2 linked regions of the Stegostoma tigrinum genome follow. The protein of the gene in region 2 interacts with the protein of the main gene of each other region in a pairwise test. Links are inferred from orthologs where the notes say so. Each region holds a gene or a part of one and is shown on either strand. Other genes may lie near its edges. The genes, in order: ctnnal1 and dmd.

The links.
Region 1: the proteins of dmd (region 2) and ctnnal1 interact in binary tests that used the Homo sapiens proteins (3 or more experiments, as listed by UniProt). The two-hybrid records come from large-scale screens. The link is inferred for Stegostoma tigrinum from reciprocal best matches to the Homo sapiens genes DMD and CTNNAL1.

The regions. Positions count from the first base shown.
Region 1 is NC_081355.1:106,361,143-106,377,057, reverse strand, and holds the start of ctnnal1 (alpha-catulin), read right to left. Parts: upstream 7,645-15,915; 5' UTR 7,541-7,644; coding exon 7,454-7,540; intron 1-7,453. UniProt on the Homo sapiens protein: May modulate the Rho pathway signaling by providing a scaffold for the Lbc Rho guanine nucleotide exchange factor (ARHGEF1).
Region 2 is NC_081365.1:58,607,077-58,622,771, forward strand, and holds the start of dmd (dystrophin), read right to left. Parts: upstream 7,814-15,695; 5' UTR 7,660-7,813; coding exon 7,578-7,659; intron 1-7,577. UniProt on the Homo sapiens protein: Anchors the extracellular matrix to the cytoskeleton via F-actin. Ligand for dystroglycan.

The sequences.
Region 1 (15,915 bases), on a different chromosome or scaffold from region 2:
GGTGATGGTGGAGAATTGCTTTTCAGACTGGAGTCCTGTGACCAGCAGTGTGCCACAAGGATGCTCTTTGCCATTTATATTTTTTTTATTCATTCATGGGATGAGGGAGCATTTATTGCCCAGAGGGCAGTTAAGAGTCAACCACATTGCGGTGTGTCTGGAGTCACATTTAGGCCAGACCAGGTAAAGATGGCAGATTCCTTCCCTAAAGGGCATGAATAAACCAGATGGGTTTTTCCAACAATTGGCAATGAATTCATTGTCATCATTAGATTCTTAATTCCAGATATTTATTAAATTCAAATTCCACCATCTGCCATGGCAGGATTCAAACCCGGGCCCCCAAATTGTTATCTGGCTCTCCGGATTAACAGTCCAGTGATAATACCACTTGGCCATCGCCTCCCCCTGCGATTTGTAATTTGTAAATGATTTGTATGTTAACAGAGGAGGTGTGGTTAGTAAGTTCACAGATAACACCAAAATTGGTGGTGTAGTGGACAGTGAAGACGATTACCCCAGAGTACAACAGGATCTTGATCAGGTTGGCTAGTGGGCTGAGGAGTGGCAGATGGAGTTTATTTTATAAATGCGAAGTGCTGCAGTTTGGAAAAGCAAATCAGGGCAGGATATATACACTTAATGGTAAGGTCCTCGGGAGTGTTGCTGAACAGAGAGATCTTGGATTGCAGGTTAATATTTCCATGAAAGTGGAGTCACAAATTGATAGGACAGTGAAGAACATGTTTGATATGCTTCCCCTTACTGGTCAGTGCATTGAGAATGGGAGTTGGGTGATCATGTAATCGCAGTATAGGACATTGGTTAAGCCACTCCTGGAGTACAGTGTGCAATTCTGGTGTCCCTGCTACGGGAAGAATGCTGTGGAACTTGAATGGGGTCAGAAGAGATTTACAAGAATATTGCCAGCGTTGGAGGGTTTGAGCTCTAGGGAGAGGCTGAATAGGCTGGGGCTATTTTCCCTGGAGTGTCAGAGGCTGAGGGGTGACCTTGTAGAGGCTTATAACATTATGGAGGGGCATGGATAGGGTAAATAGCCAACACCTTTTCCCTGGGGTGGGGGAGTCTAAAACTAGAGGGCATAGGTTTAAGGTGAGAAGGGAAAGGTTTAAAAGGGACCTTCAGTGCAACGTTTTCACAGAGGGTGGTGCAAGTATGGAATGTGCTGCCAGAGGAAGTGGTGGAGACTGTACAATTGTAACATTTAAAAGGTATCTGGATGGGTATGTGAATCGGAAAGGTTTAGACGGATATGAGCCAAATGCTGGCAGCTGGGACTAGATTTATTTAGGATACCTGGTTGGAAAGGACAATTTGGACCGAAGTGTCTGTTTGTATACGGCAGCTGTATGACTCGATGACATCAGGTTTCATTAACAGGAAAGTAACTAGTTATAAATCAAAATTACTGTTTAACAAAATGAGGAAAAATTACCAAGTTACTATGATGTGACTTAAACTGCGACTGAAATCCCCAAGCATATATATTCATTCACAAATAAAAACAAACAAAAATAGACTATTAGACACAAACATTACACGGTAGAAAAACATAAACAAAATAAAAATACTTTCCGTACATCAAATCCAGACCACAAAGATGGGATATGTTATTTCTCAAAGTTCTTTTGATTCTTAGCAGTGATGACATCATCCAGCCGCACAGCATTGGTCAATCAGGTGGACCTAGCCCTTTTGTGGAATTCTTTCCTTTTAACAGTTTCCAGGTTTTTGGTCATTTTCCATATAGGGAGTGAAGGGACAGAAAACTTTCAATGTTTGCGAGCTTACATTGCACTCTCAGGCCTGTGACAAAAGCGCGGCTGGAAAAGCCTGAAACCTGTCATCAAGCTGTTTTCCTTAACTCTGAGACAGTCTCAAAGTACACATCTCACTACATCACAAACCTTGCATAGCTAAAGGGGACACCAACAATCCTACATGACATTCATTGCCAAATAGCTGAAAGGAGAGTTTTTTGTAATGTCCAACTTCTGTTTTTCAGTTTATAGTCCATAAAGGAGATATATGTAGCTTAAGTAAGGAATTATCAGCAAGTCTAATACAAATTAAGAGTTAAAATGTGCTCTAACATTTCATGGCTAACTATTAAGGTTCGTAGTTCAGAATATTCCAAAATCTCTGCCTCTAGCTGGAAGTTGTGAACTTTGTCAGATGGTTTAAAATATCCTCTATCCTTTGGAAGTTTACATATCCTGGACAATTACTGCATCATCAGTGCATCAGGTCACTCAAGTAGCCCAGATGCATATCTTTCAAGCCAAATTCAACCCTTGACTATCCAAAGAACAGAAGATCCAGGCCACAAAAAGCAATCAAGTAAATATTATTAAACCTTGACGGGTCTGAGTATAATCTTCTCAATAAGCAACTGCAGTTTTAGGGTTGCTATGGTTGGAACCAACACATTTTTCTACTTAAGAAATAGGGGTGCAAACAGAAACAAATGTAGAATTGCAGATGAATTAAAATTGACTCCAGTGGTTATGCATGGAACTGTACAGGGTGAATACGGTCACACTGTATATTTTCACAGTACACTTCATGTTTCAGTTACTGCATTTATTCTACCTGCAAGGTGTTGTTCCAGTAAAGTGATATTACCTGATAAAGAGCTCCACAGATTGAAGAATTGTTCATGTAGCTTTCTACTATGGAAATCTGGGACTGATACTAAACAAAAGGGAGCTGCTGCAGTAATCTTTTGTCACTGTTACCATCAGCTAGTCATAAATGCAAAACTTGTTTAGTACCAGGCTAATCTTAGCTCCATGGACAACCATCAATTCAGTCACAATTCTCCAATTAAACTTGATGCAACAATACTAAATCTGGAGAAAGATGAGCTTAATCAGTTTGGCAGAATAGACATTTTTTAAATGTCAATGTTCAGTGAGATTTAGCAGCACTCACAGCGGAAATGCAGAAAGTTGGTAGCAGATGCACAAGACAATTAGGAAGATTCATGACATGTTGACCTTTAGTACAAAGGGATTAGCATGAGGGAGTAAAATAGTCTTGCTACAATTATATTTTGAGAGCATTCCTGAGTACCATATACAGCTCTGGTTTTGATATCCAGGATGGAGACATTTGCTGGGGGAAGTACATTGGAATAAATCTTGTGAAATCTTCAATGACAGGATTGGCCCATGATGAGAGATTGAGTACACTGGGTCTAGTCCCCAGAGTTTCCACAAGAAATAGTAAGAAGAAATTATTCGGCCACTCAGACCTGGTCTAACTTTCGGTGCAATTATGGACCAGACCAAACCGCTTTAAATATATCAAGGAGATAGCCTAGACCCCAACTTTTATCTTGTTTAAAAGGCAAGTCTAAGGTGCTGTATTCCAGATGTAATTGGATTGGTTACACTACTCGAATTAAAAAAAACTCTACATTCTTACCCTCATTTAAAATACAAACAAAAGAAATAAGAATTGCTATAACTTTAACTCAATTGGAAAACTCAGCAAAATAATGGATTATTTAACTACTAAACACATTGAACTCGGCCTCATATACATTCCACCATGGAGGAAACCCGGAAGTGAGGCAATCCATCGCAACGGACCCCAGAATTTGCAAACCAGGCAGGAAAACACACCGACACTTCAACAGCGGCTGCACTGAGGATGGTACCAAGCATGGTAAAGAAACATCTGCAGAACAACAAACCAGCTCAGCCAGCCAACCAACCTCAACACATTTAAGCACAATATAATAATAGTGAGCCACATTACTGAGCAAAGAAGGTAGCAATTTTGACCCAAAGCTGTCTATGCTGGTACTTTTCAAAGTGCTATCCGGTTATTCTATCCCTTTGCTTTTCTGTGATAGTCTTGGAAATTTTGTCAGAATATACAGCTAATTATCTTTTGAAAGTTACAGCTACTGTGTGTGCTTTTGCCACCTTTTCAGGTTATGAATTCCAGATCATAACAACACGCAGCACAACCCAATCCTCATTCCCCCAAGATTAATGTGTATATGTAGAGTACTCTCTCGAGCGTAACAGTTTATATCAAGGACTTTATTCTGGAATAAGTGTAGATTTAAATTTAAATTGTATTAGATCAGTATTCAACACTGTGACTGACCAGCCTATTGCACTCAATTTGAGTAACACTTTCAGAATTTTGATTTTTGTGTCCTCTAGGTATGTGTAAATACTCTTGGATATGCATTGAAGCGGGAAGAAAAGCCAGAGAGTTATTTTTAACACATTTGAAATTCCTGATTTGAAACTGATTCCAAAGTAACTTTCAAAAATAAGTTAGAGGGGAGTGGAATCAAACAGCAATAATGCGCAATGTATGAATGCAGGCATCTGTAAAGTCTTGTGCTACCAATCCATATTGAAGCACATAGTCTTGTTGCTGTTTGAATGAAAGCCCTTTGAAAATAATCCTGTCAAACTGATAATCAAATGTAAAAATTGTCACCAAGTACACTTCAGGAATTGCTAGCAGTGTTGATGCACGAAGAACCATCATGGCAATATTCAATGTTTCTAGGCAACATTGGCATCTGTTTGTCATTTTCAACACTAAGGCATAATGAGTACATCACAACACAAATCTCATCATCATGTCTCATTGTACATCTTAAAACGCAGCAAGATATCCTGCAGTAGCTACAAATTTTAGTAGCACTCAAAGTACTGTATATCATCTCAGTATTGCTCCAGGTACTAGCATTAATAAGTCTTCAGGATGGACCAAGGGCTATGTGATGGAAGACTCAAGTCAAGTTCTGTAATTATGTGGAAAATAAATGCAGACACCCATTTTTAATAACGAGAAAAATGAGTGTGTTTTCATGTTACAACTATAAATGCTGCTTGTTCAAACATACATTTTATAATCACATTTCAATAGTACAATACAAAGAGTACTCAGTGCAAACTTGAGTGATTGAGCACAGGGGCAATTGCTTTCTACCAATGGTCGTATTGGCTGAAATAAAATTGCATTTAAGCAATGGACCAAAGGAAAAGAATTGAAGCTCCTCAAAAGGCCAAGCTCTCAACGCCACAACACAATATAAACTCTAAGTTCTAAATATCTGCTTTTTCTCAATGACCTCTCTACTCTTCCCTTTCAATTCTGACATAAATGTTCCTTCAATGTACAAGAAAATAGTAAGTCAGAAACTTTCATAGAAATTGCCAAATATTCATATTCCACTGAAATTTAACTCAAATTTTAAAAAATTATTTGTGCATCTTTTGCAGGCATTTTCTGTCCCAACAAACCAGAATTTGCTGTACCACAGCACATATAAAGTAACTGCCAAACATGAATTTTGTTCTTAAACATGTGAGTTTTTAAAAATGTGCATAGCCAGTTACTGGAAGTATGATCTGACAATACTTCAGCAGAGTATCTGGGACCTGGCTCAAACTGTAAGCAGCTGCACATCATATTACCCAGTCAGAATGGAAGATTATGAAATTCACAGTGCAAAGACTGAGAAGCACGTACAGGTTAGAATGGGGAAATTCATATTGGGTGCAGTAGAAGAAATTTTCATTGTTGAAGAAAATGTAAAACTTATAAAAAGAGAAGTAAAAATGGACAGAGGTAGGAACACAAAAAAGGAACAGTGCAAGCTGTTTTAAGTTTTACATTTTCTTCAACAAGGAAAATCTGAATGAATGAAACTCACACTTGAAATAGCCCATTTTCATTGCTAGAGAAGTTGATTGATCATGGTTAACACATCATAAGTAGGTACGGAGGCTAAAATGGTCAAGACAACTTTCTCTGCTTAGTTGATTCTAAAATCTACAGGAGAGTGAGAATTTTGTGCTATCTGACACAGTTCAATGATGAGCCAGATAATGAGATGAACAGTGCAGCAACAGCACCCCAGTAGCAACTTTCAAATGTCCATGTTCCATTGTGCCTGAAGTCACTGTAATATGTGTACATCAATAACACTGAAAGCCATTAGCTTAGCAGTAGCATTTTTCAGAAAGCTTAATTTGTGACAGGAAATGAATATTTACATCCATTGCAAATGTGATGTTTAGACAATACTGTAGTACAATGTTCACATTCATGGAAAATGTCATGAATCCATTTTGCTTGGTCCACTTTCTCATGTGTTGCTCAGAACATCTATTGAACTGCATTTTCAACGATTTAAACAACATCAATAAAATTAATCTTACAAGAACAAATTAAATCAGAATTCAAAAATCTATCAAAGCATATGGTTTAATCTGATATATAGGAGAAAATTTGGTGATCTTAAGAGGTTTCTTTCAATAACCCAAGTTCTCTTTCTTTGCCTAATTATATACACATAACAGCGGGATTATGCGATTTGCTGGTGAAAAGGACAACTAAGACAAAGGTGTCATAAAAAGCTTAAACTGCAAAACAAACATTATGAGCACATGCTTCAATTTAAAGCATCTGCCGGTAGAAAAGTGGCCAGAGCTCGATAAAGCTCAGCCTTGCAGAGTTGTGCTGGTTGATTTAACAGAGTGATGTGAGCGAAAAACCATCAGCGGATCACGAGTGGACATTCAGCAAGTTCCCAATACACATTTGTGGACGTTGCATTATTTGTCATGACGAAGTTGTGTTCGGTTTGGAAGTTAAACGGGAAACAATACGTCCCTGTTCTCCGGTGAAAGTCAGTGTTGCTCTCTCCGAAAGCTACTGAGTTTGAACTTTCCAGTAAAACACTGGCTCCATTCTGTGAACTGCATGCCTCTGTACTTTTTCCTGTATGTCTACATGTCCCTGTGGGGCGGCAGTACATTCGCGTGTGGCCTCTCACCGGCTGCAATGTGCTGTCAGAACGGTTCCCTCCGGATAAAATAACCACTCCATCCTCTCCTGCTACATGGAGTGGAGGTCTTTAACAGAGCTGCACGTTAGCTTTGAGCACGGTACAATGGGAAAAGGGGGCTGCCAGCACAGGGCACTTTAATCCATCACCTCTCCTAACAGTGCGGGAATGAGTTTGTTGAGTAGTTATACCCACCTGAAAACACTAAAATCCCAACCGTTGAAGATGCCAAGGGATTAATTTTATACATCACCCATGCTTCTGAGGGTCCCAGGACTTCTATATTCACGTAGCTCTGGGAGCCACTCAGTTCGTTTAATGTGGGTCTCTCCGCATGCTTTCGGGGAGTCTCAGATCTTTTACAATCTCATTGATATACCTTCGGTGGAGGGGGCTGGGGGTCAGAAGTCCCTCTCTTTTTACTTGAAGGGGGTGTCGGAGAGATGCCCCTGCTCCCCTACCCCTATGTGGCGACCCGGAATCTGCTCATTTACCCGGAGGGGTCTCCTGCCTAGCTTTCATTCTGCGTTGCCCTGAGATCCCCCTGCCTCTCACTCACTCAGTCCAGCGCTTCTCTCGCCCTCCCTTTTCCAGCACACATACCTGAGTCACCAGGGGGATGAGGGTCTGCTCCACCGACCTGGTTTTGATCTCCAGTCCGGGATCGGTGTTGCAGTGGGAAGAAGCCATGATACCGCTGAGTCCGCTGGTACGGCTGCAGATGCAGAGCCGATCTCGTTCTCTCCCTCTCCCTCTCCGAGTGACTGAGAGGCGGGAGAGAGGGAGTTGCGTCTCTTTCCGGCTGTAGGAGGAGCTCTGGAAAGTGTTGAGAGGGGATGGGGGAGGTAACAGTGTTGGGATTTGAGTTTTCATTGGTGCTCTGACTGTGGTACATACGGTTTTCTCGTTAAAACGTGGTTTCAAAACAGCAAATGCCATTGAGTTCATTGGCGAGCTGCAGTGTGGTGCTCAGAGGAAGGGAAGCAGCGGCGGCGGCCACTGCTGGTGACCCTAGCAGCCCCAGGCACACAGCATCGCTCCAGAGCCATGCCCCGCACCCTTCTTCTCAACTTTAACACCAACTCCGGGGTCATATTCACAAAACATGCAGCCTCAGGCTGGTTACTGCACTCTGCTGCTGGGTTCCTGAGAAAGGTTACTCGCAAAATCAATCGGAAACCAATTTCCCTTACACTTCTTGCCAAAGATAGGTAACTGCAAAAAAAACTCAATCTTTTTTTGGTGGAGGTGGTTTTAGCTTAAATCTGTTTCCGTTTGTATTTTTGATTTGCAGACGTGTTTAGCAACACAGCTGCCCTCACTGTCTGTGCTCAGGTTGGTCTAACCACTTTGCCATTTGTCTTTTTTTCTTGAAGTATGTTTTACTGTACTTCAATCCCACATAAACGGGATCTGGTCTTGTTAAATTTTGAAGATTTGCAGTGATAATCTTATCCTTTTGCTCCCTGACGGGAAACAGGCATTTGATAAGGTTCCCCATGGTAGGCTCATTCAGAAGGTCAGGAGGGATGGGATACAGGGGAATTTAGCTGTCTGCATACAGAATTGGCTGGCCAACAGAAGGCAGCGAGTGGTAGTAGAAGGAAAACATTCTGCCTGGAAGTCAGTGGTGAGTGGGGTTCCACAGGGCTCTGACCTTGGGCCTCTACTGTTTGTAATTTTTATTAATGATTTGGATGAGGGGATTGAAGGATGGGTCAGCAAGTTTGCAGACGACACAAAGGTCGGAGGTGTCGTTGACAGTATAGAGGGCTGTTGTAGGCTGCAGTGGGACATTGACAGGATGCAGAGATGGGCTGAGAGGTGGCAGATGGAGTTCAACGTGGATAAACGCGAGGTGATGCATTTTGGAAGGTTGACTTTGAAAGCTGAGTACAGGATTAAGGATAGGATTCTTGGCAGTGTGGAGAAACAGAGGGATCTTGGTGTGCAGATACATAGATCCCTTAAAATGGCCACACAAGTGGACAGGGTTGTTTAGAAAGCATATTGTGTTTTGGCTTTCATTAACAGGGGGATTGAGTTTAAGAGTCGTGAGATCTTGTTGCAGCTCTATAAAACTTTGGTTAGACCGCACTTGGAATACTGCGTCCAGTTCTGTTCGCCCTATTATAGGAAAGATGTGGATGCTTTGGAGAGGGTTCAGAGGAGGTTTACCAGGCTGCTGCCTGGACTGGAGGGCTTATCTTATGAAGAGAGGTTGACTGAGCTTGGTCTCTTTTCATTGGAGAAAAGGAGGAGGAGAGGGGACCTAATTGAGGTATGCAAGATAATGAGAGGCATAGATAGAGTTGATAGCCAGAGACTATTTCCCAGGGCAGAAATGGCTAGCACGAGGGGTCATAGTTTTAAGCTGGTTGGAGGAAAGTATAGAGGGGATGTCAGAGGCGGGTTCTTTACACAGAGAGTTGTGAGAGCATGGAATGCGTTGCCAGCAGCAGTTGTGGAAGCAAGGTCATTGGGGACATTTAAGAGACTGCTGGACATGCATGTGGTCACAGAAATTGGGGGTGCATACATGAGGATCAATGGTCGGCACAACATTGTGGGCTGAAGGGCCTGTTCTATGCTGTACTGTTCTATGTTCTATAACTACAAGACTTTGTCGGCCAACAAGGCTCAGAACTGTGGTGGGAGCATTGGTTTAAAAGATACTGGTTTAAATGAATTGCGGAAGCTCGAAATCTTAAGCAATAACAGAAATTGCTGGAAAAGCTCGGCAAGCTATGGAGAGACAAGATGATCAGAGGATTAGATAGGGTGGACAGTGAGAGTCTTTTTCCGAGAATGATGACTTCAGCTTGTACAAGGGGCACAGCTACAAATTGAGGGGTGACAGATTTAAGACAGATGTCAGAGGCAGGTTCCTTACTCAGAGAGTGGTAAGGGCATGGAACGCCCTGCCTGCCAATGTAGTTAACTCAGCCACTTTAGGGGCATTTAAACAGTCCTTGGATAAGCATATGGATAATGATGGGATAGTGTAGGGGGAGGGGCTTAGATTAGTTCACAGGTCGGCACAACATTGAGGGCCAAAGGGCCTGTTCTGTGCTGTATTGTTCTATGTTCTAGAAAGCAGGGCCAACGCTTGGAGACACCAGTGACTCTTCAACAGAACTGAACTTTGCTTTCTCTCCACAGATGCCACCAGATCTGCTGAGTTTCTCCAGCAATTTCTGTTATATTTTAAATTATGGTTGTTGTACCCAGTCATAAGTATTTGAAAATTTTGATATCACTGCAAAATATAGTACAGAAGTGATGTTTATGTCTGTCTTCTTGGAATAATTTAACCAATACACTCACAGATCCCAGATAACAAAGTGTAGAGCTGGATGAACACAGCAGGCCAAGCAGCATCTTAGGAGCACAAAAGCTGACGTTTCGGGCCGAGACCCGGATTCAATTCTAAGTGATCAAATTTGAGAGTAATAGCAAACTAACAAAAGCATTATTCAGTCTGAGAAGGTGGTCTGGAAACTAGAAAATAAGTTGAACAAAGGTGAAAGTGTGGAGAACAGTGCTGCACATTTTTTTGAAAAAGCACCAAAAGAAACTATTCCATGAAGTGTGAGAATGACTAAGATGAAGCAGAAGGGAGGTTTCATTGGAAGATCACAGACCTGAAATGTTAATTGTGTACCCCAATCTTCACAGATGCTGTCAAATGTGTCCAATATTTCTGGAATTTTCTGTGATTTTAGATTTCCAGCATCCATATTACTTTGCCATTGCCAAAAGAGAGCCATTTTTTAAAATAGATTCAGCACTCACTACTATAACAGCAACACAAATATGCCATTCCGCACCTCTAGATTCTTCAAACATTCCAGTAGGTTGCAGTTAATTTATATCTCATTTTTATTTATAAAATTTGATCTACGTCCCTTGATACCCTTGCCTAATGAAAATCTGTTAATCTCAGTATTAATGCAGTTAATTACAATTCAAAATTGATCTGATTACACTTACTTCTGTGGCTATTTTGAGCATAAGAATTCCACATTTTCAACTAGACTTTGCGATCACTCTTGCATCATTTACTTTCAGTTTTATCCATAAAATGCCTATGTCACTGTCAAGTCTGACAATAGTTTTGGTGGGGACATAACGGCAAACCATCTTCTTGAATGTTACTGGATGGTTTATGAAGCCATTTTAAAGGCCAGTCCATAGTCACTGCTTTTGCTGTGTGTCTGAAGCCATAAATAGACCAGACAGGAAAAAGGTGGCAGATTTTCTTCTTTTTTTCTTTTCTTCTTTTAATGACACTCATGAACAAATACATTTTTATAACGCTCTTGTAGGTTTATGGTCCCCATTATTGATACAAGCAATTATTTAATTGAATTTAAATTCTCTAGCCATGATGGCATTTTAACTTGTATTTCTGGATTGTCACTCTGTTTCTCTGGATCAGAGGTTTACTAACATGACCGCTCTGTAATGAATCTACAAATGTTGCTCCTTGTCTGAATTCCTTCAACAGACAATATTATTCCTTGGCACTTACCTCTGCATTATCTCAGCGGGAAATGGCCTGGTGGTATTATTGGTGGACTGTTTATATAAAGGCCCAGTAATGTTCTGGGGACTCGGCAGATGGTGGAATTTGGACTCAATAAATATCGAAATTAAGTGTCTAATGTTGAGCATGAATTAATTGTCAGAAAAACCCATCTGATTCACTAATGTCCTTTAGGGAAGGAAACTGCCATCCTTACCTGGTCTGGCCTACATGTGATTCCAGATCCACAGCAGTGATTATTTCTTGGCTGCCCTCTGGATAATTAGGGATGGGCAATAAGTGCTGGCCTGGCCAGGGATTCCCTCATCCTGTGAATGAGTGAAAAAAAATTAATGTTTTTAGGATGTCAAATACTTTCAGTTAGATTACCACCCAAATTTGTGTTGACAAGGGAATGCATGTGACGTTATTGGATGCTGTTGCTGAGGCCAGATCATTGTTGTGCTCAAAATCAAATGCTACATGTCAAATGGGAATAAGTATGAGCAACTTTTAGCCATAGAGTGCCGTTAGAAGCAATTCCAAGAAGGATCATTTGTCTCATTTTTGGAAGAAAATTAATCTTAGGAAGAACAGTTGGACAAGTTGTGATCATCTCCATTGGAGTTTGGATGAATAAGAGGTGATCTTCTGAAACACAAAACATCCTGGGGGAATTGATAGACTGAATACCAGAAGGATTACACTTAAACTTGTGGGGAAACTAGAATTAGGGGAGTCAGTTTAAAAATAAGACCAAGATGAGGAGAAATGTTAGTCTTTCAAAGGGTCATTGATCTTTGGAATTCTCTTCCCCAGAAAGTGGTGAAGGCTCAGTCATCAAATTTATTCAAAGGGAAATTAATTAGGTTAGATGTTTTCGGGTGATGGGGGAAGATAGAAAGGTGAAGTTGAGAACACAGCTAGATCATCCAAATGATTGAATTGCTTACTCTGGCTCGTAAGCCCTATGTTCAAAGTTCCATTGACTGTAAACATATTTAAATGTTCAAAAGCATTTCACAGGACCATCATACATTTGACACTGAGCAACATAAAGAAGAATGAGGGCAGAAAACCAAAAGCTTAGTCAAAGAGCTAGTTTTCAAAGAGTGTCCTAAAGGAAGAAAATGAGCAAGATAAACAGAGAGCCTCAGGGAAGACATCTCAAATATTGGACTTTGATAGTAGAAGGCACAACTGTGTGACCTGGATGTCCTGCTCTTTATAGTCTAGACAGTGACAATAAAGGTCATTCATCCAGACTGAGCAGGCCCAGAAGATGCTAACTGACAGCAGAATCATATCGTCAAAGAGGCCTTTTGGCCCATTGCGTCTGCACTAACAAAAACTACTTTAACGCTATAGGAGATCCACTGGTGTCGAAGTATGGAAAATGCAGGGTGAATTTATGAGAGCAATGAAAGGGCAGGACAAAATGTTGGCAGACAAGATTAGGGAGACTCCCAAGATATTCTACAAATATATCATGGGAAAGAAGATAACCAGGGAATGAGTAGGGTCCTTTAGGGACCAAGGGTCAAACCGCGTGTGGAGCTGGAGGGCATTGGTAGCATGTTAAATGAGTTCTTCACATTTCTCTTTACTCAGATGATGGAAAATGCAAGTACAGAATTTTCAAAGATGGACTATGAAGTTATTGAGCAGATTGATATCAGAATCGATGAGCTATTGGAGATTTCAGCGGTGTTAAAAGTGGTCTATGGGAGTTATATCCCAGTTGTCTCCCAGAGCAGCCTGGGATACAAGGGGGAAAATTAAAGGAACCCTGGCCCAAATTGTAAAACCATCTCTACCACTGGGGAGATGCCAGAGGACTGGAGGATAGCTAATGCAATTTAACTTTACAGGAAGGAAGTGGAGATAGGTAAGAGAACTATAGGTAATGGATCTACTATCAGTGGAAAATCTTGGAGAAAATACTGTAGGACAAAATTAATATCCATATAGAGACATAAGATTTGACCGTAGACAGTCAGCATGGCTTTGTCAGAGAGAGATCATGTCCAACAAATCTGGCAGAATTTTTTTGAGGAGGTGATCATGCATGTAACTGAGAGTATAGCAATGAAGATTGATAGAGGTCTATGAGATTATGAGGGGCATGACCAAAATGGATAGAAATTGGCTTCTCCCCTTATTCAAAGGGTCAATAGAAAGGGGACACAAATTTCAAATGAAAAGCAGGAGGTTTAGGAAGAACTGGGGGAAAACCTTTATCAGTCAGGGGGTGGCAGGGTCTGGAATGCACAACTTGGGAGGGTAGTCAAGGAGGAAAACGTCACAATGTTTTGAAAAAGTGCTGAGATGAGCACCTTAAGTATCATAACATTCAAGGCTGTGGGCCTTGTGTGATTAGTGTAAGAAGTGGTGTATGTTTGTCAGTACAGACTTGATAGGCCAAAGGACTTCATCTGTGCTGTATGATTCTATGATTCTAAATACTCATTCAAGTACTTTTTAAAGGTTGTGAGGTTTCCTGCCTCAACTACCAGTAAGTCCATTCCAGGTTCCCACTACTCTCTGGGTGAATAAATGTTTTCTTTTACTCCCCTCTAAACCTTCTGTCTTTTATCTTAAAATTATGTCCCCTCGTTATTGACCCTTCAATCGCCTGTCATCCTCTCTAAGCCCTCACTCTGTTATAAAGAAAACAACCTGACCCGCAACATCAGCCTTCCTGCTCCTCTGATGCTGCCTGACCAGCTGTGTTCCTCCAGCTCCACACTGTGTTATCTCTGACTCCAGCATCTGCAGCTCTTGCTGTCTCTAAAAGATCAGTTATAAATTTGGCGACCTTCCCCAACTTCACAGCTACTTCCCATTCAGCGTTTGTCACTTATAAATATTTTGAAGAATTTTGTATTGTAGAAGCTGCTTCAGGAATGCATTTTTTTGGAAGTTAAAAGTAAATCTTTTAACTGTTCAGTGCAGTATACAATTTAGCCTTTTCTAAACAGTCTGAAGTACTCCAGCTGTTTAGTGTGCAGTGCCACAGTAACACAGAATTATAACTAAAAAGAAACTTGTGGTTTTCAGAATATTTGTGGTGTCAGTACAAAGTGGGATTAAAAATTTGGAAAGAAGACATGAGGATGTCAAAGGGAGAAACCACAGCAGATGAAAAGATGACCTGGCAGTTAAGTAGCAGCTGTAAGTAAACAAGCAGAATGTGTGTGCATCAATGGCATGGACAGAGTTCACTTTAAGCATCACTCTAGTGAATGGGTAGTTACCAATGAGTGAAATTAATAACTAAGCACATGTTTTCTAAAGTGACAATGTTTTCCAGCAACCACATATATATTCCACATATAAATTCTAGGTAAAAGTGAGAACGCATTTTTCCCTTGTTACCTCCAGTTCCTCACATTTTGATCAACAGTAAAACAACATGCCACAGGTAGAATAACTAAATTATAATACTATACTTGTGATGTTATTCAAATGGACCAACTCATTTATAATATTTTCTGTATAATGAAAAGTTGAGGATAAAGTTGTCATAGTCCTACAGGACCACAGGGTTGCTCTCTCTTACAGAGAGTTGACTAGAGTCAAAAAGTAATACAGCATGGAAACAAGTCCTTCAGCCCAAACTGGTCCATGCTGATCAAGGTGCCCACTCAGCTAGTTCCAATTGCCCGCATTTGGTCCATACCCCTCCAGAACCTTCCCATCCATGTACCTATCCAAATCTTTTTTTTAAATGTTGTTATTGTATCTGCCTCAACCACTTGCTCTGGCAGCCATTCCACATGAGCACCACTCTCTGCATGAAGAAGTTGCCCCTCAGATCCTTCTTAAATCTTTCCCCTCTCACCTTAAACCTATTCCCTGTAGTTTTCAACTCCCATCCATAGGAAAAATACAATGTGTATTCATCCTATATATGCCGCTCATGATTTTATATACCTCAATATAGTCATCTCTCATTCTCCTACATTCCAATGAATAAAGTCCTACCCTGGCCAACTTCTCCATACAACTCAGGCATACTATTCCTGGCAAAATCCTCATAAATCATCTTTGCACACTTTCCAGTCCAAATTTGTGTGACCAAAATTGTACACAATACTCCAATTGCAGCCTCAGAAATGACTTACACAGTTGTAACATAATGTCCCAACTCCCATACTCCATGCTTCAACCAATGGAGGCCAGCATGCTAAATGCCTTCTTCACCACCCTGTCCACCTGTGATGCTGATTTCAATGAACTATGTACTTGTACTCCTAGATCACTCTGTTCCATAACATTCCTCAGGACCTTACCATTTACTGTATAAGTCCTACCTCGGTTTGACTCCTCAGTGCAACTCCTCACACTCATCTGTATTAAATTGCATTTGCAAATCCTCACTCCAATTCCCCATCTGACCAAGGTCCTCCTGTAATTCTTGATAACTTTCCTTGCTATCAATGATACCACCACTAGTGCTGGTTTAACCCAGGGCCGCCACACCTCAGGTAAGGGGAGAGGTTGAGTTGAAGCCTCCTTCATGGTAACCTCAGCC
Region 2 (15,695 bases):
AGAAGCATCAATTGACTGTTTAGACCTTCATGGACCACTCATTTATGCAAAGACAAAAATCTACTGTTAACACCTGCAAATTTCTTCCTAATGCTAAAACAACTTCAAAATGTATTTTAAATAAACTATTAAACCATGGGTCTCCAGACGTTCACTCAACTGCTCTGAGCAAGGAGTGAATTTTTCAATTTAAAGTATATGCTTTCATGGAAGTGCTAGGATCGGGATACTTTCATTGCAGTGTTACTTCAATTTGAAGCATAGCATGAGTCATTATATTCGTATTTCTTTTGAACAACACTACTGCAATTAGGAATTTATATCCATCACATTTAACCATTGATGTGACAATGATTATGTCACTGGTCTTCAAGTTACACTGTTGAACGTTTTTGAAAATACACTGCAGAATACTAACATTTGAACAACTAAGAGCTTGTAAGTTAACATCATACAGAAATTTCAAGGGCATTGTGTCAGTGATTGTATTCATTGCTCTATTTAATTTCAATCTTAATTATAATAATCTCTGCATCCAATCAACCGGCTTTGTACCAACCTAGTACAACAAGCAATGTGTCAACATTGTAAGGGCAAAAAACTTACTCAAATCAACTTCAAACTCTCTCCCCATTCATTAGAGTACTTGCTGTGGTTCAGAGTAGGCACAAAAAAAAACTTTTTTCTGACAGTGGTAATAGTGGTAAGCTTTGGTAAAATTGCGTTATTACTGAGTTTCAATTCCATTGTCCATTTATTAGTGCTTATAGGGAATGATTGTCATAGGTCATAAGTTCAGGATCATGAAATTTGGAAGTAGAGCTCGTCCACTCCAAAACGCTGAAACCCGATTGGTTCTGTTTCAATCACACTTCAACCACAGCTGGTATTTGCATAAGTCTTACGTTCTTTTACATTTGAAGTTATATTAATTACATTGGGGGGTACTTTGCCATAATTTGACATCAACAAAATGGCCATAATTTCAAGTGCAATGGTAATGTTGGAATTGACACTCAGAGCTTTAATTTGAGTGATCAGAGTTTCAGAGTGAACTCCATCAAAATACTCAATTTTTCGGAATATTATACAGCTCCATGGAATCAAAAATAAAAAATATATAATTTGTTTCAAAGTCTGTACTTAAATAGGAAAGTAGCCTACTCTTGTTTCATGCTTTAATTCATGCAGAGAACTTCTCATACCCTGATTCCTTACTTTCTGGTTTAATCTGCCTTCATGATACACTGTGGATGCAGTGATGAGTTTTCTCAGCAAGGAATTTCTGCTATTTGAGACAATACTTGTATTAGATTCCATCATATAAGAATTAGACATAGGTAACATTATACTAAAATATTCAATAGACTTTATTACTAATCCTGGTATCTACACATATTATAACTCATAGGCACTATTTTGTCAGGGTTATGAGTGGACAATTCGGTTTTAACCTGTTGCATGCATCTCTCAGTGTGTCATGCTGCAAGAGGCTCCAGTAAGATGGAGACTGAGAATTTTGTACCATCTGGTTACATACAGTCACACAGCATGAAAACAGAACCTTTAGTCCAACTTGTCCTCACCAACCAGTCTTCCCAATCTGAACTAGTCCCAATTTCCAGCATCTAGCCCATATCTCACCATGCCCTTCCTATTCAAATGCCCCTCCAGATGCCTTCAAATAATGCAATTGCATCTACCTGCACCACTTCCTCTGGCAACTTGTTCCATACATACACAACCCTCTGTGTGAAAACGTTACTCCTTAGGTCCCTTTTAAATCTTCCTCCTCTCAACTTGAACCTATGGCCTCGAAATTGGAACTAATCCATCCTGGGAAAAACACTTGGCTATTTACCCCATCCGTGCCTCTCAAGATTTTATAAACCTCTATAATGTCAGCCCTCAGCTCTGAAGCTCCAGGGAAGAAAGGTCCAACCTGTTCTCTAAACAAAAGCAAAACACTGCAAATGCCGGATAGTGCATATATAGCCACACCCTCATTTCCTACCCTTTTTCCTACCTACTAACCTCTTCCCCCACCCCCTTGACCTATCCGTCCTTCCTGGACTAACCTATCTCCTCCCTACCTCCCTACCTCCCTACCTACACTCACCTACACTGGCTCCATCACAGCCTCTTTGACCTGTCTGTCTCCTCTCCACCTATCTTCTCCTCTTTCCAACTCTACTCCGCCTCCCCCCTCTCCCTATTTATTTCAGAGCCCTCTTCCCTTCCCCCATTTCTGATGAAGGATCTAGACCTGAAATGTCACCTTTTCTGCTCCTAAAATGCCGGTTAGTAGTGATTTCATAAGAATGTCTCTTAAAATTACAATTGATATATTAGCTCTGATACATAACACAACATTTTCCGCTTTGTGACTTCACACTGTAATGTATTAAAGATGTGGAATTCAGTGAATTGGAACATAACTAGAGTGACCTTATACAACAACACAGCTGCACTGCAAAATGGGACTTTAATCTGGTGCAAACTAGTTAACGTTTCTTCCCAAACTGCACTCTGATCCAACACTACTTATACCACCAACAGCTCATTCGCCACCAGCCCAAAGTTAATGTTTCACATTCTTTTTCTTGTTGTGAGCCCAACCTCTTCACCTGCTTAATATCTGTAGGATTTTTCCAACGTTTCCAAATTCTGGTGAAAGGTGATTGAAATGTTAACTATCTCCAAATATGCTGCCTGAGCTGCTAAAATATTTCCAGTGTTGTCTGTTTTTACTGTGCTTCAGATTTCCAGTATTGACAGTGTTTTTCTTTGCTAAGTGTATGTTTGAATTTTGTTTCTAATCTCACATATGGAAAATATGAAATCAGTTAGGTCTGGGACACAGATAAAGGGTTCTCTGATACTTCAGAAATATGAACAATAGCAGTCTGAGTGATTAAACTCAGATGCACCCAGGAAGTTATTCCATATGCTGTACTGCTAACATGACATGTAAAATGTCTGTCGATTACATGACTAATGCACAACTACGATGACTACAGAATCAGATGTTCTCTCAATTGAAAATGCATGCGCTGAAATATAGAAAATGTAAGGACAGTCATTGAACGTGTTGGCTGGGTGAATGCACTCAAACTACGTGATCTGCCACCTACTGTCTTACCATAATCCCAGGTAGCATCTTGGTGATGAGGCAGATTTTTTTGGCAAGTCTGCCACTACAACTGAAAGAAGATGCAACCAAGTAAGTGATAAAATTATTCAAGAAAATGATTTGAAGAAGAATGCAGAATTCACTTTAATTTAATAAATACATATAAACTTTATGGTGCCTTTATATCTAATTGTATTAAATTAACATTTTGTGTGAAACAGGATGAAAGCATTATTGCCTAGGGCAAGGAAACCCTCATGATTCATGAATGACTATTTAACATTGCAGCCTATCAAGTGTCACAATCAATGCTTTGAGGATTTTTAAGATCGAGGTGATTATGAATAAGTTCAATTTGATTCAGTCAATTTTTGTCTTGTGAGAACAAAAATTCAATAGTTATGTTTCCAAAGCAAGCCTTGGATTTAAAACAATGCAAAGCAAAGTTTTTTTAACCTTTGCAGGGCCCTCTGTCCAATAGAAGCCTAAAAAGCAAATAACTGAATTTGAGACAAAATTTTACTCCTTGGCAGTTACATTTCAACTGCGTTATGTGGGAGGAATGCATTTGGTTCACCAGTTATAGTACCCAGATGTACACTTTGGCACTCAGGATATTGCTGCTGCAAACAGCAGTAGCTAGGTCAATGATAAAGCAAATGCACACTAATGGAGTTCAAAGGCAGACAATCTCACCTTTGTAGTTCAAATGAGTATTAAAGCAGTGCAACACTGAACTCACAGCCAAAATTATTTGACCTGAATTTGCAAATCTGCAGTGGCATTAATAAAATCAAAATAAGGATTCACATTGTGCAGCTAGAACATACTTATGTGATTAATCCTGGCTTAACAGCAAAGAGATATATTTTAAACAAAATGCTTGCCCCCTCCACCCCACTCCCCTCCCTGTAACTAGAATACCTTTAATAAATGGATATGTTACATAGAACCAAGGAAGTTAGTTTTATAATGATCGTCATTAAATAAAAAGTATGTCTCAAGTAGTTAACACTGAAGGGCATGACAAAAATATATCTGTCTCTTCGTACTTACCGGTGATGTGACAAATATATCATATTAATAATATCACACTATTGTGTATATGATAGAAACGTGTAACTTTGAGCAACATGACTGAGTTAAAAGCATGCATTTAATTATTGTTGGTTCCAATGTATCGATGTTGAAATTGAAATGCTTTGGCAGCAATCATAGCGCATTCCATATTGGAATCATTTTATATCTAGCATTATTACACTGAAACTTTCTCGAACTTGTATTTGTAAATATTTTTGAATTGTATTTTTCTTCCACAATATGTGTTGTATTGTGTAGTTCAAAAGCAAAAAGAAAGAAAATTCAGGCAGAATCTGACAACCACTTGTCAGCACACATGGATTTGACTGGTCAAATTTTCTGTGACACCCTATTGAGTCACTGTGTTCTCAGCCATGGTAAATGTGGTAACATTCTCATATCTGAGTCAGAAGGCTGTGTTTCAAATTTCACTCCAGAGACATGCACAAATGTCTACTATGGACGGAGTGCTGTGCTGTAGAATATAACAAATAATACTTCGCTTAACTTTAATTTGTAAATATTTCTGAGTTGCATTGTTTGTTGAAAATTAAGTTATTGAAACTTTCAGCACAATAATACCAAAGTGACATTATTCTGATATGGAATATGTTATTACTTCTGCCAAAGCATTTCAATTTCACCATCAATGCATTGGGAGACAATAATGAAATAAAAGTCTTTCACCCTACTGCCAGTCAGTTTTGATAATATGCCTGCAGCTCAAGATAAACATTCTCTCTGATTACAAAAAATTATACTGATCACAATAATAGCATCATGAAAGCGTCATTACCACCAGGGGAACAGTCTTATTTTTGTACATGACAGTCAATATTTGCTTATTATTATAGAATTGCTAAATATCAAATAAAATTGACTGATCCAATGGAGTTGCTTCAATGATTTTATATCTCTCTTCAAACTCTCCTTCTAAGTAAACTGATTTAATTGCATCAGAAATATATTTCAAATAAATAAACAGTTCTTGAGCAGTCCACTTAATCTAAAGAGATTTTATGTGTAATTTTACAACTGACTCATCACTATAGAATCTGTGTTTTACTTAAGTTGAACTTTTATTCCAAATAACTTTCTAACCATCCACCTGCTATCTCAAAGCAAGGAATATCTGAGCCCCAGGCTTTACTGTTGTTGTCAATATGGGACTGATAGTCCAAAGATGTGTACATGCGAAGAGATTAGAATTTGATGATTTTCATTTCCTTTTAGTTACTAAAGCAGAACAACTTTACCATTTTGTATCACTGTGCTTAAATTCTAATTTAGCTTTGAGCTAGGAATCCACCCCCAACCAAAACCTACTGCCATTTAACCTGGAGAGACTTTCTTTCTTATATTTTGGTAACCTTTTGGTTGGTGAGAAGGAATTAAAAACCATCCAAATCAATGAACTAGATTTTCCAAGCTTAATGCCAGGTTAAGTCTTTGTGGCTCTTCTCCAGTGTGGTTTTCCTTTAAATGTGTTCGGGATACTTCTGAGCTGTGTTTTTGCGCATAGATATTCCTGTATCCCACAAAATAACGATCACATTGGACTCCTGAATGAAATGTAAAACCAGTTTTTAATTGGTGACGGCCTAAAATAGTTTGCACAACTCTCTCAATTCCCGAAGAGCAGGTGGCTGTCTCCACCGAGCTGTCCCTAGCATAACTTCTAACATCAAAATAAAACATGACCTTTCCCTGCTCAAAGTTGAGACTGTTGTTTCCCCGAGATTTTCCCAGTAACTGGCACTGGGCTGCACACGTCAACAGAAGCGGCATTGCCAAATTCCAACACAGCCCTGTGGCTGTGGTTTTCCTTCAACAGCGCTTCATTCCGCGGGATAATGATCTATTCCCCAAAGGGTTTCCCAACACTCCAAGTGCTTTTCTCTTTGAGAACCCAGTTACACAGCAAATTCGGTATACGCCAAGGCGTGGGGCTTAGCGCCATTAGCTGCTTGAGTTGTCAAATTTGTACATGCATTTTATGACCGAGCTCCCTGAAACCCACTCGGGATGAAGTTGCGAATAACTGGATAAAACATGCAAAGTAACTGAACATGTGGCTGCAAGGGAAACTTTTAAAGTAAGCAAACTGTTGGCCCTCTTTTTAATCCAGAAATGCAACACTGGACCGCAAACGAGCTGCAATGTAATAAGGAGTTTACAACCAAGTACTCAGTTGATTTCAACCGACCAGATTTATTGGATATGCTGGAATTTGAGGGTGATCGACAGTTAATAACTGTCAGTTAGGCAACCCATATCTCACTTCCTGCACAGCACAGAGTTCTCCAAAGGGTTTCTATCACCAGTTCGGAACCCACAGTATCCAGACTTTCAACTGGACGCCCCTGGGAGGATGAGAAGCCACCAAGTGTGTCTCACACGGCCTTTGCTATCATTCATGGCCAGCAAACCTCAACCTTCCACTGCATTATTTGAGGGAAGAATCTGTACACTGCAGGTTTCCTTTCTCACACAAGCTCGTGTTGCCGACTTCGTTGCTTTACTTTAAGGCGGCCTTAGTCCCCCGGATTGGTCCATCTCTCCATCCGACACCAGAGAAGAAGCAGGTTCCGGGGACTGCCCTTCTGTTACAATGGGAGGAGCAACAGCAGCAACATACTACCCACTGGCGCCTATGTCCTTTGGACTCTGAAGTAACAAGGTGTAGAGCTGGATGAACACAGCAGGCCAAGCAGCATCTCAGGAGCAGGAAAGCTGACGTTTCGGTCCTAGACCCTTCTTCAGTCCTTTGGACTCTGACAGGCTGTCATTGCGGTATTTAAAGAGACACTACCGCAGTTCAACCCCCGCATTGTATCCCACCCCGACAATCACTTTATGAATATTTCCTCAGTGTTCTCCCTATGGACATCACTGGGAATACATACACGGTCCTACCGAACACACAGACACACACACACACTCACACACATTATTTTATGTCCAAAATGTTGACCTAGCGGGAAAGTTGTTGTTTTATCTTCTCTAGGTCCTGTCATGTTACCCTCACTCTGTCACCTAAGCCCGACTCCAGCTGTAACCATTCTCGGTGAGAGCTCCCGCTGTGAGTGAGCGGTCTCTGCCCATCTCAGAGGAGGGCAGCCCCAACAGGGTCTAACTCGGTGGGCTTCATCATTCCCGGTGCCAACTCTACTCTGCAGCTGCTCAGCCAAACACACACACACACACACACACACACACACAAACACGAGCAATGGTCTTTCCAAACCTCCGGCGCCAGAGCCTTACAGCCTCTGAAAGTTGGAGGTCTACTCTCAGTTTGCCAAACCTCAGCTGGGATCAGTACGGGGCACCGTCCTCTCCAGCCCGTCCTCTCTCCACTTACCCGTTCGAGTTTTGATGATCTCGTTAAACTCGTCTCCAGCCGAATCGTCTCTCGCACTCTCGGGACGCCCAGCTTCTGCCATCGGTCGATGTTGGAGCCTCAGCCTGTGCTCTGTCGGAAGCTGCGGGCAGCGAGATCTCCAGCGCCGCTGGCTTTCAAGCCAGTCTCCAACTCCGGCAGAGCTAGCGCTGTGTTGCAGGGCAGTTCAAGACGGGGCAGCTCCTCCTCAGGCACAGATCAGGGCTGTCACAACTTCTAACAGATACACATCAACAGGTGAGCCTCTCTGTCCCTCTCCCACCCCTCCCCAAATAAATCCACTCCATATATATCAATAATGTGGGGAAGCGGCCCAGCCCGTGTACAGAATCAGCCGGGGAAACCTGACACCCCCATAAATCAGGAAAGGCTACAGTCGGATTGCTCTCCTGACACTGACAGGCTCTCTGTCGGTCTTTAAAGGGACAGTGCCGTTCCCCACTCCCTCCGCCAACGCCATCGCCGCTACAAGTGTCTTCCCCTCGCAATCACTTTATTTCCTTCGTCAGACATTAATTGACAAAACCCTTGGAAAAGTTGGAGCAATAGTCGGTAACACAAATGACAATCTAATAGCAGCAAGCTAGAAGTGGGGTTACATCAAACTTTAAAGAAACCAAAAAGCCGAAAGAACGGCGAATGCTGCAAATCAGAAACGAACACAGAGGTGCTGTGCTGTGGAAGGGTCACCGGATCCGAAACGTTAATTCTGATCTCTCTCCACAGATGCTGCCAGACTTGCTCAGCTTTTCCAGCAACTTCTGGATTTGTTTTTAAAGAAACTAAACCTCCTTAGAAGTAATTTTAAATGACAATTATATTAAAGCAACGATTTAAGTTACAGAATCACAAAGACGTACAGCATGGGAACAAACCCTTCAGTCCAACCAGTCCATGCTAACCATAATCCCAAACTAAACTAGTCTCACCTGCCTGCTCCTGGCTGATGTCCCTCCAAACCTTTCCTGTTCACATATCCATCCAAATATCTTTTAAACGTTGTAATTGTACCTGCATCCAGGAAACTCATTCCACAGGCGAACCAGCCTCTGTCTAAATAATTTGCCTCATGTCCTTTTTAAATCTCGCTCCTCTCAATTTAAAAACATGCCCTCCCTTCTTAAAGTTCCCCAACAACTCTGTCTATATCTCTCATTATTTTATCAACTTCTATTAGGTCACCTTTCAATTTTGCTCTTTTATTTGCTGAATTCCTAGTTTCAGATCCGTTAACTTTGAAATTCTCATTCTGGTCCCCAATCTGCTACAAGCCTCAAGAGGATTCTCTGTTGCTCGAATTCTGGCCTGTTATTCAGCCCTCATATCTGCTATCCCATCATTAGTGATTCTGTCCCCAGCAATTGGGAGAACATTGATAAGAGCAGCAGGTCAAGCAAAGAAGCAGAGATGGCAAGCACCAAGGGTTTGCATAAGACAGCTTGCTTTTCAAACCATGATATAAAAGAATAGTTATTAACTAAGTTGCTGGAATGCAGCAGTTACAGAGTCATAGAGTCATGGAGTAATGTAACATAGAAACAGACCCTTTGGCCCTAACTGGTCCATGCTGACCATAGTGCCCACTCAGCTAGTTCCAATTGCCTGCATTTTGTCCGTATCCCTCTAAACCTTTCCAATCCACGTACCTATTCAAATGGTTCAAAATGTTGCTATTGTACCTGCCTCAGCCACTGTCTCAGGCAGCCCATTCCATATATGCACCACTCTGCATGAAGAAGTTGCCCCTCAGGCCCTTCTTAAATCTTTCCCCTCTCACCTTAATCCTGTGCCCTCTAATTTTCAATTCCTCATCCCTGGGAAGAAGATAATAAGCATTCATCCTATCTATGCCTCTCATGATTTTATACACCTCAGTAAGGTTACCCCTCATTCTCCCACACTCCAAGGAATAAAGTCTTCTCCTGGACAAGCTTTTCCTATAACTCAAGCCTAATAGTCGTGGCAACATCCTCGTAAATCTTCTTTGCACACTTTCCAGTTTAACTAAATCTTTCTTATAACAGGGTGACCAAAACTGTACGCAATACTCCACATGTAGCTTCACTGACAACTAATACAACTGTAACATAATGCCCCAACCCCTGTGCTCAATGCCTCAACCGATAAAGGCCAGCATGATAAATGCCTTCTTCCCCATCCTGTCTATCTGTGATGCTGCTTTTGACGAGCTATATACTTGTACTCCTAGGTCCCTCTGTTCTGCCACACTCCTCAGGACCTTACCATTTACTGTGTCAGTCTTAGAACATAGGACATGGAACGATACAGCACAAAACAGGCCCTTCGGCCCTCGATGTTGTGCCGACCTATGAACTAATCTAAACCCATCCACCTACGCTATCCCATCATCATCCATCTGCTTATCCAAGGACTGTTTAAATGCCCCCAATGTGGCTGAGTTAACTACATTAGCAGCCAGGGTTCCATGCCCTTACCACTCTCTGAATAAAGAAACTGCCTCTGACATCTGTCTTATATCTATCACCCCTCAATTTGTAGCTATGCCCCCTCATACAAGCTGATGTCATCGTCTTTGGAAAAAGACTCTCACTGTCCACCCTGTCTAATCCTCTGATCATCTTGTATGTCTCTATTAAATCCCCTCTTAGTCTCCTTCTCTCCAGTGAGAACAGACCCAACTCCCTCAGCCTTTCTTCCTAAGGCCTTCGCTCCAGACCAGGCAACATCCTGGTAAATCTCCTCTGCACCTTTTCCAGTGCTTACGTTGGTTTGGCGTTCCAAAGTGCAATAACCTCACAATTATATTTATTGAATTGCATTTGCCAGTCCTCAGCCAACTTTCCGAAATGATCAAGATCCCTCTGTAATTTTTGATGACCTTCCTCGCTATCAACAATACCTCCTAATTTTGTATCACCCATTGCTTTGTTTCAGTTGAATGTGAATATATTTATCACATGATAAGGAGTAGACGTTATTCCAATATAGGCATTTGGTTGCACACATGCTTATGATGTTTAGTTGTTGACAAAGTTCACTGCCTCTAAAACTAAACATATCTTGCATTACCAAAAGATGTAGAAACAGAAGTAGGCCATTCAGCCCATCGAATCTGTTCTGCCATTCAACAGGATTATGGCTGATTTGATAATCCTTAATTTCATTTTGCTTTGATCCCCTCACTGTTTGAAATTCTGTCTGTCTCAGACTTAGTGACACATTCTCAACAGCCATCTGTGGTGAAGAATTCCACAGATTCAGTACCTACTGAGAAAAGAAATTCCTCATCCTTCTCTTTTATATGCAGTCCCTTAATTTGAGACAGTTCTTTCTCATCCTAAACTCTTTCAACACGGGGAATCAACCTTTCTGTATTGACCTTGTCTTATCCCCTAGCCATCTTGTATATTTACATTGCATGAATATATACAACAGCTGTAGTTTGGCTAATCTGGTTGACTCTAAATTGCCCTCTGGGCAATTCAGGATGAGCAATAAATACTGCCTGGTCAGCGATGCCCTCATCTCTTTAAGAATAAAAGAAGTAAAGGAATCTGCCTATTTCTTGAACTTCTAGACTCATGCCTATTTCTGCATCAGGGTTGTTTAATGAGATTGAATGGAATGTTTGCTACTTTTCTAGATCTGAGGACGTTCTTGTAAATTTTCAGGCTGGATTTAATTAGGAAAAGAGAGGAAGAATTTTGAGGAGGGACAATCTCTCAGAATTACCCCCTTAATCTCATTATTGTCCTGATTTCTGTTCTCATGCAGAGGTATGCAATTGTTGCAAGTAGAATAGAATGCAATACAGCTCTTTCTTTGCTTTTACTTTTCAGTTTCCCGAAGTGAATCTGTGTAACATGCCATCAAATAGGACTCAAACATTTTAGCAGAGGTTATATCACACATTTGACCACAATTCAAGCACATTATAGATCCTATTATGAGGGGCATTCAGATAACAATTGTGGTAAAGCACCGATCATTGAATTGAAGCAAGCAGAGGTCCCAAAGGAAACTCTCAAATTTTTACATGGCTTTCACTTTCTTTTCTTGTGTAGTTAATAGACATTCTCCAGCACAGAATATTGAAAGGAATATTCCTTCAGACAACAGAACAGAAATTTCATTCCTGCCATTTACCTGTATTGTTTCACTTTCCCAATAGAAATTAAGAAGCGAAACAAATGGGTTCAGTATACATATCCTCCAATTGTGGGAGAATATAGAAAAGACACCTATTAGAATTACTATGAGGAACCAAGGAGGTAAGTTTTGGGAAAAAAAAGTTACATGAATTTCACCAATACATTTCTAGCACTTTGTTTCTCCTTAACTGAAAATAAATTTTTCTGATCTTGTAGAGTTAATGTTATGAGACTCAATGCCTTCTTAGATAACATTAACATTAACGCAAGGAGCAATTTTTTACACAGGGAGTGGTTTGTGTATGAAATGAACTTCCAAAGGAAGTGGTGGATGCAGGTACAGTTACAACATTTAAAAGATATTTCGATAAGTACATGAATAAGAAATGTTTGGAGGGATATGGGCTGAGTGCAGAAAGATGGGATAGTTTAGTTTGACATTATAGTCAGCATGGACAGGCTGGACCAAAGGGTCTGTTTCTGTGCTGTATGACTCTATGACTGTAAGTTGGATACTTTAGTTAGGACTTAAGCAGCAGAGGTCTATATAAACTCTAGTTTATGGAGAGTGAAGACAGGAGGTTGGCCTGGAATGCTTTGTAATGTCTAGTCAAGTCTATGGTAACATAGGCCTGGATGAAGATTTCAACAGCAGCTGAGCTGAGGAAGAAGCAGAGTAAAATGATACAATAGAAGGAATTTCAGCAATGGAGCAGATTCATAACCGTAAGTTCATCTTGAGCTCAAAAGTGACACTGCAGTTAAGATCAGACAGGTTCAACCTCTAATGGTTGCCAGGGAAACAGATGACATGGTTCACTAGAGAAGGAATCTTGTGGCAGGTTCTGTGCCTTTCACAGTCGACACGTCTTTTGCACAGGGAAGCTAAAGAGTGAAAAAGGTGACATCCTTCCAAACATACCTTCTATCCCATTCTCCAGTATCCCCTGTGTGGCCTGGAATATTCAGTACCATTAAAATTTAATGCCCTGGTGATTCTCAAAGCAATGCACAAGGTCAGATTATGCTGATGACATCCAGCTCCAACCCTCCAACATATCCCATGAACCTTCAGCTGTGTTTATATTGTTAAACTGCTTGCCTATCATCTAGTACCAAAGAAGTAGAAAGTTTTTACCTAATATATATGGGACATGGAATCAAGGGTAATCTAGATTAGATGGGAGTGTTGAATTTGAAACAGAAATGCATGAGCTATAAACTGTTGAATGATGGATCAGACTAGAGTGGATGAACAGCTCCTATTCTGTATGTTTAGTATGTACTGTAAAGGCCATTGTCCCTATCTGCTGCCAGAAAATATATTCTCTTGCGAACAACTTCATCTATTTCCCTGGCAGCCATCAGATGTTGAACCTGTCTGATCTCGACTTTGGTGTCACTTTTGAACCCAAGATGAACTTTTAGTTACATATCTGCATCATCGCTAAAACACATTGTATTTTGCTCCTTCCTCAGCTCAGCTGTTGTTGAAATCTTAATCCAGGCCTATATTATCATAGAATTGGCTATCTCAAAGCAGTCCTGGCAGAACTCCCATCTTCATCCTTCATTAATTGTTGTTTATCTAACCTCTGCTGCTTAAATCCTAACTCAAGTGTAATCTCATTTACAGACTTGTCAACTGAATCAGAAGGGCAAATTATCACTTACAGTCATAGAGCTGTACAGCATAGAAACAGACCCTTCAGTCCAATCTGTCCATGCCAACCAAATATCCTCAATTAATTTAGTCCCATTTCCCAGCATTTGGCCCATATCCTTCTAAACCCTTCTTATTCATGTACCTGTCCAGATGCTTCTTAAAAGTTGCAATTGGACCAGCCTCCACCACTTAGTCTGCCACATGCCTACAACCTTATGCATGAAAAAGCTGTAACTTAAGTCCCTTTTAAATCTTTCCCCTCTTACACTTAAACCTATGCTTCCTAGTTATGGACTTCCCTAGCTGGTAGAAAAGACCATGGCTGTTCACCCTATCGATGCCCCTCATGATTTTATAAATCTCTATAAGGTCACCCCTCACCCTCCGAAACTCCAGGGAAAATAGTCCCAGCCTATTCAGCCTCTCCCCATAGTTCAAACCCTCCAACACCGGCAACATTCTTGTAAATGTTTTTCTAAACCCTTTCAAGTTTCACAACATCCTATAGCAGAGAGATGGGAATTGCACATAATATTCAAAAACTCACCTAACCAATGCCCAGTACAGCTGCAACATGATCTTCCAACTCCTATATTTAATGTGCTGACCAATAAAGGCAAGTGGAAGAAACACCTTCTTCACTATCCTGCCTACCTGCGACTCTGCTTTCAAGGAACTATGAACTTGCACTCCAAGGTCTCTTTGTTCATCAACAGTCCCCACACCTTACCATTAAGTGTATAAGTCCTGTCGTGATATGCCTCTCCAAATTGCAACACCTCACATTGATCTAAATTGATCTCAATCTGCCATTCCTCAGCCCATCACCCCATTTGATGAAGGTGCTGTTGTTATATGAGGTATCCTTCTCTGCTGTCAACTACACTACCAATTTTGGTGTCACCTTCAAACTTACTAACCATACCTCCTATGTTCACATCTAAGTCATTTATATAAATGCGAAAGGCAGTGAACATAGAGCTTAGCCTTACAGCCCGCTGGTCACAGGCTGCCAGACTGAAAAACTTATATTGTGTAGGAAACAAAACATGCTCAAGCATTTTGAAGGATGGAAGACGTTCGGTAACTTAACAAGAATTGAACAAGAAAAAGGAGAGGAGAACTCTGGCAAAATTGGATCATACATTTCAAACAAACTTTTGAAGATGGTAGAAATGAAGCAAGGCAAGCAGGATTCAGGCAATATATCCAGGGAGCAGCTCTCCGATTGTTGAAGATTCTGTTACGAATGATCGAGCAAGAAATCCTGGGGCAGTTTAACAGATGCCTTCAGCTGATCCCTGGTGTAGATGGGTGAAGCAGCACAGGAGCAATGAGATTGTAAGAGAATCAGCTCTCTATTAGATGTAGTAGAAATGATAAGTTGGTTAATGAACATTTTGCTTTGTTAGGTGTGCCTTTAAAATATGTGGACATGTAAATACAAGGCTATAGTTAGCAGCATTAAATCAGCAGCATTTCTGGAATAGGCATGGTGCAGTCTCTCAGGGTGCATCTAATTCCTTCTGACACCACTTTACCAGTTCTAACTATCCTCTCAATCCAGGTTCCACCTTAGCCACAAGACACAAAGGCCAGTTTCCCAAACAATAGTAGTATTGGGTAAAGCTGCAGCAAATGACTCTCACTCCTGTTTAAAACTGAAGGTTACTCAACTCCATAGATACAGAATAAACCCGTACAAGTTATCCCATTGGAGACTAATCACAGTTAAAAGGAAACTCAAATGTTCATTCGATGACTGAAACTATCATATGTCATGAGTTAAGTTAAGACTTTTAATGTATCACATAAACTAGAAACAGCATTGAATGAACACTATTTAATTTGGCAACATAAAGTTTAAACTACAGAAAAGATCTGCTGTTTAATTTTTGCAATGAGCAAATATCTCCCAGTATTGGTTATATTTTACTCCATGCATTAAATGGACACTATACTCCCCGGTTCACAGTGCTAGTGAGCTCCTAACAGCTTGCTTCCTTTATTTTTCTTCACCCCAGTCTAGCTTTCTCTACCAGAACTAAGTTACACATTTAGGTATGAATTGGAGATGCTCCTCTCTTGCTAAAGCAAAAATAATCTGCCAACCTTTTTAATCTCTCAGAAACATGGTGTCTTCTAGCAATCCGAGCATGAACTCCCAGCCACTTTCTGCATTGTGAACATTAGAGCGTGGTCTCTCTCTCTCTCTCACACACACACACACACACACACATTTTGCAGTTTGACCATGTCTGTGATGTTTAGTGATATACA